2 linked regions of the Sus scrofa genome follow. The protein of the gene in region 1 purifies or fractionates together with the protein of each later gene. This does not show direct contact. Links are inferred from orthologs where the notes say so. Each region holds a gene or a part of one and is shown on either strand. Other genes may lie near its edges.

The links. The genes of interacting proteins can lie anywhere in the genome.
Region 2: the proteins of PRKAR2B (region 1) and PRKACB purify together in Homo sapiens (affinity purification with mass spectrometry; 7 studies listed by BioGRID and IntAct, counting the BioPlex papers as one, with this or other methods). This does not show direct contact. The link is inferred for Sus scrofa from reciprocal best matches to the Homo sapiens genes PRKAR2B and PRKACB.

Annotation. Positions count from the first base shown.
Region 1 is NC_010451.4:106,944,601-106,949,652, reverse strand, and holds part of PRKAR2B (cAMP-dependent protein kinase type II-beta regulatory subunit), read right to left. Parts: intron 1,844-5,052; coding exon 1,742-1,843; intron 234-1,741; coding exon 159-233; intron 1-158. UniProt on the Homo sapiens protein: Regulatory subunit of the cAMP-dependent protein kinases involved in cAMP signaling in cells. Type II regulatory chains mediate membrane association by binding to anchoring proteins, including the MAP2 kinase.
Region 2 is NC_010448.4:129,541,243-129,546,294, forward strand, and holds part of PRKACB (cAMP-dependent protein kinase catalytic subunit beta), read right to left. Parts: intron 2,069-5,052; coding exon 1,946-2,068; intron 1-1,945. UniProt on the Homo sapiens protein: Mediates cAMP-dependent signaling triggered by receptor binding to GPCRs.

The DNA of each region.
Region 1 (5,052 bases):
ACCATTTTTTAACAAATCATTTGGTAGAAGTAATATTCATTTAATCAATCACTACATACTAATTATACACACACACACGAAGCATTTAGCAAGCCTTAAAATGTCTAAGAGCCTTTCGGAAAATAACTCTCAACTGAATTCCATAAACAGTATTATACCTGAGCAATGATTTGTTCTCCATCGTTGTACACTTTGGTGCCTATTACATCCACCACTTTCAGGCGTTCAGAAACCTACAAAGGAAAAGAAGATTATACAGCTGACCCCTGAACAACATGGGGTTAAACTGTGCATATCCACTTACATGCAGATTTTTTCAATAAACAGTCACCCCACCCCCACTCCCATCCATGGGTGCAGAACCAGAGATAGGGACAGCCAACTGTAAGGGACTGAGCATCCACCAAGGTCCTGGAAACAGTCCTGCAGATACTGAGGGACAAGACTATATGAAACAGCCTGATCGGGTAATCTTAACTATTTCAGGTTTTTTCGTTCCTTTCTGGCCACACCCATAGCATGTTAGTTCCCACACACCAGGGATGGAACCCACACCACAGCAGAGACCCAAGCCACCGCTGTGACACTGATGGATCCTCAATCCACTGCCCACAGATCTTCCTTAACTGTTTCAAGGTTTAAAAATGGTAGCCTATAGGCCAAATAAACTGAGCAATGTGTGGGTCTGTGTGTGTGTGTTTGCTGTATTAACTGCCCACATTTTAAAATAAATTTTCAATAAAAACTTGAATTTCCAGCTTCTCTTGAAAAATCGGGACACTCAGCAACAGTCAGCCCATATCTCCAAATTGCAAAAATAAACTCTGTTAACTAGCAGCTGTTTCTTTAGATGGAGCACATGTTTTCCAGTTTACCAAAGTCCCATCCTGGCTTGGTTTTCTTCAATATGTTAACTCTAAGGCATGTGCATTTCCAACCCCTGAGCTATTTTTATTTAGAGAGAACTGTTGCTGGAAAAGATCAGCTGCCCAAAATGCATTCTGAAATGTGGCCTGAATTTCTACTACTTTAAGCCAACAGAGAGTCACATCCGCCCATGAGTTCGTCAGTCCGAAGGACTGTGGCTTAGATGCTGGAAGGATGGCAGTGCTGTCTCTAAGATGGGAAGTGGGGTGGGAGGAGGTTTGGGCCGGATTAGGTGTGAGCTTTCTATCAGACACCCCAGAGAAAATGTTAAATATGCAGTTAGATAAATGAGCCTGGCGTTCAAGGGCTGGGCCTTGCCCAGTAACAACAATTCTAAGAGGCATCAACATAATAGACTTATAAGCCAGGGGATTTGACAAGTTCACCATGTGAAGAGGGTTAGGGTGAGCCTGCCAAAAGAAAAAGAGACCCTAGAATGCCAATTTTAGGAGAAAGGAGAAGAGGAATAAAGGAGGAGAGGCCAGTGAGGATGTGCTGTATTTGGATAATCTGATCCTATAAAGGCATAACTAAGCGGCCACTGCCTACATTTGTGGGGTTCTTTTAAGTCTGCGTTCAGATAAAGACCAAATACAGATCTGCCAAGGATGCTCCTAGGAGTCTATTGCTTACATACGACAAAACAAATGCAGCTATAGGCAGGAAAAGAAAGGCTGAGCTGTACAAACGCTATATAATCTTCTCAAATGAAAATATGGATAAATTATTATTCAAAGAAACTTCCAATAGAACTAAGCATTCCCAACAAAACAAAAGCTTTTAAAGCAAAATAAAAGCACAAACATATACTTACTTCCAAAGATTTAAGGAATGGCAGTGACTCAATAAAGCTTTCATACATTTTCCTCTTTTTGGCATTATTTTTTACAATTATTCTCCTGAAGGTTACCCTGTCCTAAAGGCAGAATGTCAAATACGAAGACAGTTAAAAGGTAGACTTTATGGGGAAAGAAGGTTTGAAGAGACAGTTTGAATTTATTCCCTACAAAGAACAAACAATAATTGAAGATTTTGAAATAAAAGATGAACATCATTATACTTCTAACGTAACTCATTTCAGATTACTTCTTTAAGCATACATGTAGAACCATATAAAACGTGACTTTCAGGTTTTTTAAAGAAAGCACCAACGTGTAACCGGCGGGCTACACCACAAGGTGGCGCTGTCGCACCACTTAATACGCTCCCCGTTCTTTCCTGCCCCACCCCCTCCCCTTTTGAGAGAAAAGTGATTTATGACGTATGCATTAAAGGTATAAACAATACGTTGATATGACATACCTATATACTGTGAAATGATTACCACCACAGATGGTTAATACCGCTATCACCTCACATAATTACCATTTCTTTTCTGTGGTAAGAACATTAAAGATTTATTCTTTGCAGCTTTCAAGTATATACTGTTGTTAACTATAATCATCACGTTTTACACCGGATCCTCAAAACTTACTCATAACTGCAAGTTTTTTCTCTTTAACCTACCTCTTCCCCACCACCCTCAGCCCCTGGCAACCCCATCATCCTACTTAGTTTCTGAGAATTGAAACCAGCAAGTGAGTTCTTTCGCTACAGATAACAGCCTTAGAGTGTTATGAAATCAATTCGGTGGGACATGACTGGCATTTTTTTTAGGTGTAACTGGCACACAACATTTTATTAGTTTCAAATGTACAACATAATGATTCAGTATCTGTATATATCGTGAAATGATCATATTAACTCTAATTAACATCCATCACCATACATATAGCTACCACATTTTTTTTCTTGTGATGAGAAATTTCAAATGTACAACACTGTTACTATTAACTGGTTACCGTGGTGTATACTCTGTCCTCAGCATGCATTTGTATCTAGAAATTTGTACCTTTTGACCCCCTTGACCCATGACCGGCATTTTCATCTTTAAAAAAGAAAAAACAAAAGAGAAAATCTGTGGGCATCCTTTTTAGTCAAGTGTTGAGTTATATATTTATTTCCATTATACACAAAGGCACACAAACATATACACTGGTGTGACATTTCCTAATGTGTTTCTTGTGGACTGCAGTAAAAAAAAAAACGATGGAAAACAGTATTAGGAAAAATTTTTAATCATGCACTTACAATGTAAAGAGATATAGAAAAATTATTGACTAGGCTTTTTATCACATCCATATACCAGAGTTTCTTTTTTAAAATATACAGAGAAACTACGACTTCTTTGAGGAGAGTTTGATGACAGTGTTTATCATGCTCATCATTCTAAAATGTTCCTATGTTTATACTACTTAACCTCAAGGATACAGAAGTGAAATAAGGAACCAGGGAAAACTTTAAAGCTAATGGCTCTAAAAATGGTTTTACTACAAATTTTATATTACAAAAATTCCTACCAAACATTTAGTTCTCAGAGTGCTCAGAATTACGTTAGTTTGGCATAAACTGATAAACAACAATACCGTTTAATATAAAGTAAAATTAATTGGAATATGTTCTTTAATAAATTACTGTGCCAACATATTAAGGCTGAATTTAAATGAACTGATAGGATGGGGGAAAAATGCAAGTGTGGATTAAGTCTCTAGGAAACTAAACATCTTGTTCTCCGATTTCGTTTATTATAATTTTATAAGGGTTATAGTTTAGACTTAGTCATTTTTTAAAAAGAGAAAAAAATTTAAGATAATTGTAAAATATTGAAATAATTTCCAAGTCTAGCTCTGCATCAGAATCAGCAGTGGTGTTTTAAAAAAAAAAGTTTCTAAGATCCCATACTTTATTTTTATTTATTTACTTTTTTTAGGACCATACCCAGGGCATATGGAAGTTCCCAAGCTAGGGGTTGAATTGGAGCCACAGCTGCCAAGCCTACACCACAGCCACAGCAACGAGGGATCGGTGTTTGCAACCTACTTTGCAGCTCATGGCAACACCAGATCCTTAACCCAGTGAGTGAGGCCAGGGATCGAACCTGAATCCTCATGGATCCCAGTAAGGTTCTTAAGACACAGAGCCACAACGGAAACTCCTAAGATCCCACACTTTAATGACTCAAAATCTTGGCACACAGGACTCTATATATAATAATCTGTATTCTGTAAAAACTCTCCAAGTGACTCTGCTATGTAATCTGTTCTGGGGACTGGCTGCACACCACTTTATGAAGAAGAGTTTACAGCAAAACAGAGAAGCCTAGAAAGAGGTTAGCAATTTAGAAATTAATCATAATGAGCAATGTGTGTCAGAAAAAAATTTCTATTAGTGGCTCACCTCTTCACACCCACTGTGACATAAAAATAAAATCCAGAAAGTCCCATTTCAAAGATTTTCATCCTATAGTCATTTCAGTCCTCACCTCTCTGAATCACCAGCACAGTCCTGCAGATCAGTTAATTCCCCAGGGCTAACAGTGACCTCGTCTTATTTACAAAGCTGGACTCTTCTACAAAGGACTTTTCTCTTGAGATTTGCTTATCTTTATACCTGCACTGATGCGGCAGAGCTCCAATCTGTTGGTCTTAAAACTTTCTCCGGAAGGGGGCTGGTTAGGTGAATTGCTAAGAAAGCAGGTTTGAAGTATTAACTGATTATGTTAATTATTATGATTTTTAAAAGCAGCTATTGCACTTATGCACACACCCCAAGGTGATCATCACAAACTGTCCACTTTCTTTTTTTAACGGCTGCACCTATGGCATATGAAGTTCTCAGGCCAGGGACTGACTCCAAACCACATCTGCAACCTATGCCACAGTTGTAGTAATGTCAGATCCTTTACGCCACTGTACTGGGGCTGGGGATTGAACTTGCACCTCCACAGTGACCCGAGCTGCTGCAGTTGAATTCTTAACTCACTGTGCCACTGTTTGTAAAGTTTAAAATATGTACAGATTAGTAAAAATCTCTGAAAATGACCTAAGTATCATGCACCCTGGGAAATGCTGGGCCTTTGTCAGTAGTTTAGGGTTCCCGCCAGGGCTGAAAACTATCAGGAATCAAAAGGCCAACCAGCTAAATATGTGACCTTGTTCAGAGGAACTGCAGAGAGGAGGCTTCCGTGTGACAATCTGATTCTGGATAGCAACCCCATCAGGATGATTAAATTTTCAGTGATACCTT
Region 2 (5,052 bases), on another chromosome or scaffold:
CTCTATTAATTTTTCTTGATTTTTTGTTTTGTTCATCTCAAAAGTTCTTTAACTGTGACCTTAATATTCTGCTGGGTGAAAACAATTACAAAGATAAGAAAACTGCAAGGGCAGTAATACTTAATTACCTAAATACTGCTAAATACTTCATTCTGTCTTTCTGTATTATCTTAGTAAAAATCTTTAAAAACCTAGCTTAGGTGTCTGGAAGAGGTATTTATTTTTTGCCTTTGACATGGTTGAAGTATATGTTCTTTAGTTTAGTCCCCTAGTTGTAAATACCATAAAATGCAGTAAAATATAACTGAAAATAGTGATCCCTGTAGACTGCATAAGCACTATGAGATATGGAAAAATAACATGCTGAGATGTAGATTCTAGGTAGCTGGACAGACTTATTCTATTGGTATCTTGCTCCTATAGCCCAGCCATGCAGCATCCATAATTTAAATTTAGGTCTTGGTAAAAAAGATAATTTACTACATTACGGATATTCAGGCTACCTTGCGAAGAGCTGAAACTATAAATTTCAAGTTCAAATGCTAAGGCTTAGCTTTCATACTAAATGCAGAGCATAAATCTGGTTGAGATACAAATAGATAGATTTTTTTCCCCTATCTCCTTTCTTTAGGTTGAGTAGGCTTATGTCTTAGAAGGCTACAAAATACATAAATGTCAACTACATCACATTTTAGGGTAAGGTCATGTCAATATTGATGTTATGTGATCCCTCCCCCCAAAAAAAGACAAACTAATAGAGGGTACAACATGCAGGAATGGGACAAAGAAAAAATAAGGAAAATATCCCTTCCCATGAACTTTGTCATAAATGTATAGAAGGCCTTCCACACATTTTTGAAAGTCTACTGTTTCTCTCCTATGTGGTAAGCAGAATCAGGCTCATCTCTATTAAAATTGTAGCATTTTAAAAATGCATCTGAGGCATGAGTTAAGGCAAGAGTGAATGGTCAACTTTATTTTTAAAATTTTTATTTTTTAGTTTTTTTGCTATTTATTTATTTTTGCTTTTTAGGGCTGTACCCACAGCATATGGAAGTTCCCAGGCTAGGAGTGGAATCAGAGTTGCAGCTGCCAGCCTATGCCACAGACATAGAAATGCCAGATCTGAGCCATGTCTGTGACCTATACCACAGCTCACAGCAACGCTGGATTCTTAACCTAGCCAGGGATTGAACCTGTGTCCTTAAGGATACTAGTTGGGTTGTTACCACTGAGCCACAATGGAACTCTAAATGGTTAATTTTAAACAAAATATTCTTGGAAACAAAATTAGAGATTATAAATGCAAAAGAAGGAAGCTTCGTGGAGTAATTACAAAATGTAAAGTACTCTGACATAGTAAATCTACTCAAATTTAAGAAAATTAATGTTATTCCCATATTTACTAAAGATCGATTGCAATTATAATCACATTAAATGAACAACTGTTTACATCATTTCTATGAATTCCCATCTTAAAAAGGTTTATCTATTCTATATTTACTTCCAATTTCATGCTGTTTGACATAATTTAAACAATAAGTCTAAAAAAGCCAGGACATATAAAAACAGCCCCAAAACCTCTCTACGTAGATTTCCACATGAAATAACTAACAATTTTTATTTGTTTGAAGAAATATGGAAGAGTTAGGGCTATGATTTTGTGTTTTATAAGGATAAAAATGCTAAAAATGGAAATTGCTTTATTATTTTGCTAACATGTTTGTAAAACTGCCCTTTTTTACATAAGAGACTTCAATGATTTGGTATTTATGCTGTTATCTTCCATAAGTATTAGAAAAAAGGGCAGCAACTATGGGTATTTCTGTATTATTCCCAATTTAGGACAATATTCTGATGATATCAAATGGATTCAATGTACAAAGCTTAAAATTCATGTATAGAAATAATGAATAATCAAGAAATAATAAATTGTATTACTTACTTTTCCAGAAACAATCTTTTCATAGATCTGAATGGGTTGGTCTGCAAAGAATGGGGGGTAGCCAGCTGCCATCTCATAGATTAATACTCCTAATGCCCACCAATCCACTGCCTTATTGTAGCCCTAAAGTAAACCAACACAAACGTCTGTTATTACTTAACTCACTCAGAAGAGAATGAATATCATAAATTATTTCAAAATAATCTTCAAACACATGAAATTTTAAAAATAGGTTCTGAGTAGTTATGCAGGATGAAATAAAAAACACAATGTATCAGGTCAGATTTGAATTAAACAAAGGGGAGAACTTCCAGATACTGAGATTAGATAGTAGGAAAATATTATTAAATTTTTTCCTAAAAATAATTAAGAATATTATAGACAATAAAATATGCCCTTTTAACTGGGATAGCAGTGTTGTTCAACAATAGGAAGGGAGTTGGACCAAATTACCTCTTATAGCCCATTCTAGTTCCATAATCTTATGAATCAGGTTTTCTAGAAAATACTTAGAAAGGTCAAATGTTCTGAAATGAAAGAGTTGATGTACTTCATAATAAATAGTGGAATTAACTTCAAAATACTCTACATATTTGTAATTAGGAGGGTGAACATCCTGTGAAGTGAATTCCATCCTCTTTATAGGACCTTATGGAAGCTAAACATTTAATGTGGAAGCGAACACATGTAAATCTTTAAGTATACTTTATTGTTTTGTTTCTCATCTCTAAAAAGTATATAGGAAAGATGATTAATTCAGGGGGTTCTGTGAGGACTTTATCAAATAAAGGAAATAATATGTACAAAGAGAATGCTGCAAATCAAGGGTATATAATTCTAAGGCTATTCTTAACTGGATTTGTTTTTTTCATATTAAGCTTACTAACATTAAGATCTAGAAGTATTTATAAGAAAATAAATAAGAATAAGGTATTAACATATTTATATAAAGTTTGTTATCAACTACAATCAATGTCAACTGGCACAAAAGATTATGGAAAAAACCCAGTTTGATCATGGAAGGAAATGAGCTGAGTTCTTGCCAGATCTTTTGATCTGCCCTCAGGTATATTCTTTAATTACCTTTACCACTCCCCATATTCCAACCTTTTGTCAAAATTTTAGCTTTTTAAGCTATTTAATTTTCAAACTACTGGCTAAAATATAATACTGTGATATGGAGATTTCTTTTTTCTTTCCTGTTTCTGTATGTTTTTAAAAAGAGACTAGTATAATTGGAATAGCACTTTGTTTAGCTTATAGAAATGGGCATCAACCGTGCTTTAATTCTTTAAACTCAACTCCCTAGTAATGTAATTACAACATTTTTTGCTATAATGAAAACATGTAATGTTCAAACAGATCCTTTTACTAAATTTTGGTTTTATGTTTCAGATTGTGTGCTACTGTTTATAATAAGTATGTTAGATGCTTTTAATACCCTAGGTATAAAAAATTAAAACAAATCAATAAGAAAAACAATTATAATAGATAAATGGGCTAAGGACATGAACTAATAATTCATACACATTCATAAATACCAAATGGCTATAAAGCATTAAAAAAGCTAATAATAAAAGACATGAGACTTAAAATAATCAGATGTTGTTTACTGCCTATCAAATTAGTAATGCTTTTTAAAATAAAGAATACCCAATGCTGCAGAAAGTTTGATATAGGCACTCTCAAACACTGCTGAGGAGTGTAAAATGTTACAAGCTTTTTGGAAAGCCCTTTGGCGATATGTATTGAAACCCTTAAAAATGTTCATACCCTCTGACTTAGTAATTCCACTTCTAGGAATCTAACCTTAAAAAATAATTTAAAACACAGAAAAGGCTTTATGCACAAAGATGTTTCTCATAGTTATTTATAATAGAAAAAAACAAAATAACCTGAATATTCAACGACAAGAGAAGAGTGGCAAAATACAATATGGTACATTTTCAAATAAGCCATTAGAATTATATTTTCAGGCTTGTTATCATTCAGGTGAAAAAAGATGAATACAAAATTGTACATTCGATATAACATGCATAAGAAAATATATTAAGATGTTTTTAAAAAGGCTACCTCTGGGTGGTGAGACTATAGCTTTCTTGATTATTTTTATTTTTCTGTATTTTCCTGATTCCATACAATGAATATTTCTTCATACATATAAACACATTTTTTAAAGTTTTGGTGCTTATGACAAACACCTTATTTGTTAAATGCACTTGAAGAAGAAATATGTTATTAGCAATGAAATTTAGATTATAAAAGACAAAGTTATAGATGATTTAAAAAGGTGAAAGATTTATATGATCTGGAGAGAAACCAGAGTATAGTTATAGATGATTTAAATCATGAAAGATAATGAGAATAAAGCTGAAATAATTCTTTTATTTTATTCTAACACTTCTATAGGTTAGCCAAATTTGAATTATTCAGAAGGTAGTTATTGAGTGTCTAAGTATTGAGGCAGGTTCTCTTTCTCTTTCCTGGTTCCTGTCTATGCCCAATTATCAGTTTTTCTTTTCTGGCTTTCTCCACCAAAGGATGGCAGAAGAAAGGAAAACAGAGGTTAAAACATCATTTCAGATATGATTAAAAATTTCTCATCACATTTTCTCTGTTTAGAAAAGTAGAACTGTCTTAAGATTATATTCATTTGCTATAATACTATTTTTAAACTAAAGTTTAAAAAAATAATTCACATATAGTTCTTTCATTTAAGTGGTAAAGTTGAAACAAAGGAAGAAGTGACAACTAGTACACGTTATCTTTAGTTTGCCTCTTGGTGTATATAATGCAGAGCAAGGCTTCCCTCCCCTCTTCTTATTAGAAGTAATTATGAAAAGGCTATGCTTTTGGCTTCAAAACATGGATCTAGAGGTCAGATTTAGTCCTACTAATTCTCTCAGATCCAGAGTTAAAACTGACAGCTTCTAGGATTAGTGGTAGACTCTAAATAATTACTTTTTAGTAATTATGCACAGATAAAATTCATAATTTAGATTAAATAAACATAAAATTTGATCAGTAAACTGTTTTTTAAAATAAAAATCCACAGTGATGCATGCCTTATATTTATTTTTTCTTTTTTCGTTTTCTTAAGTATAGTT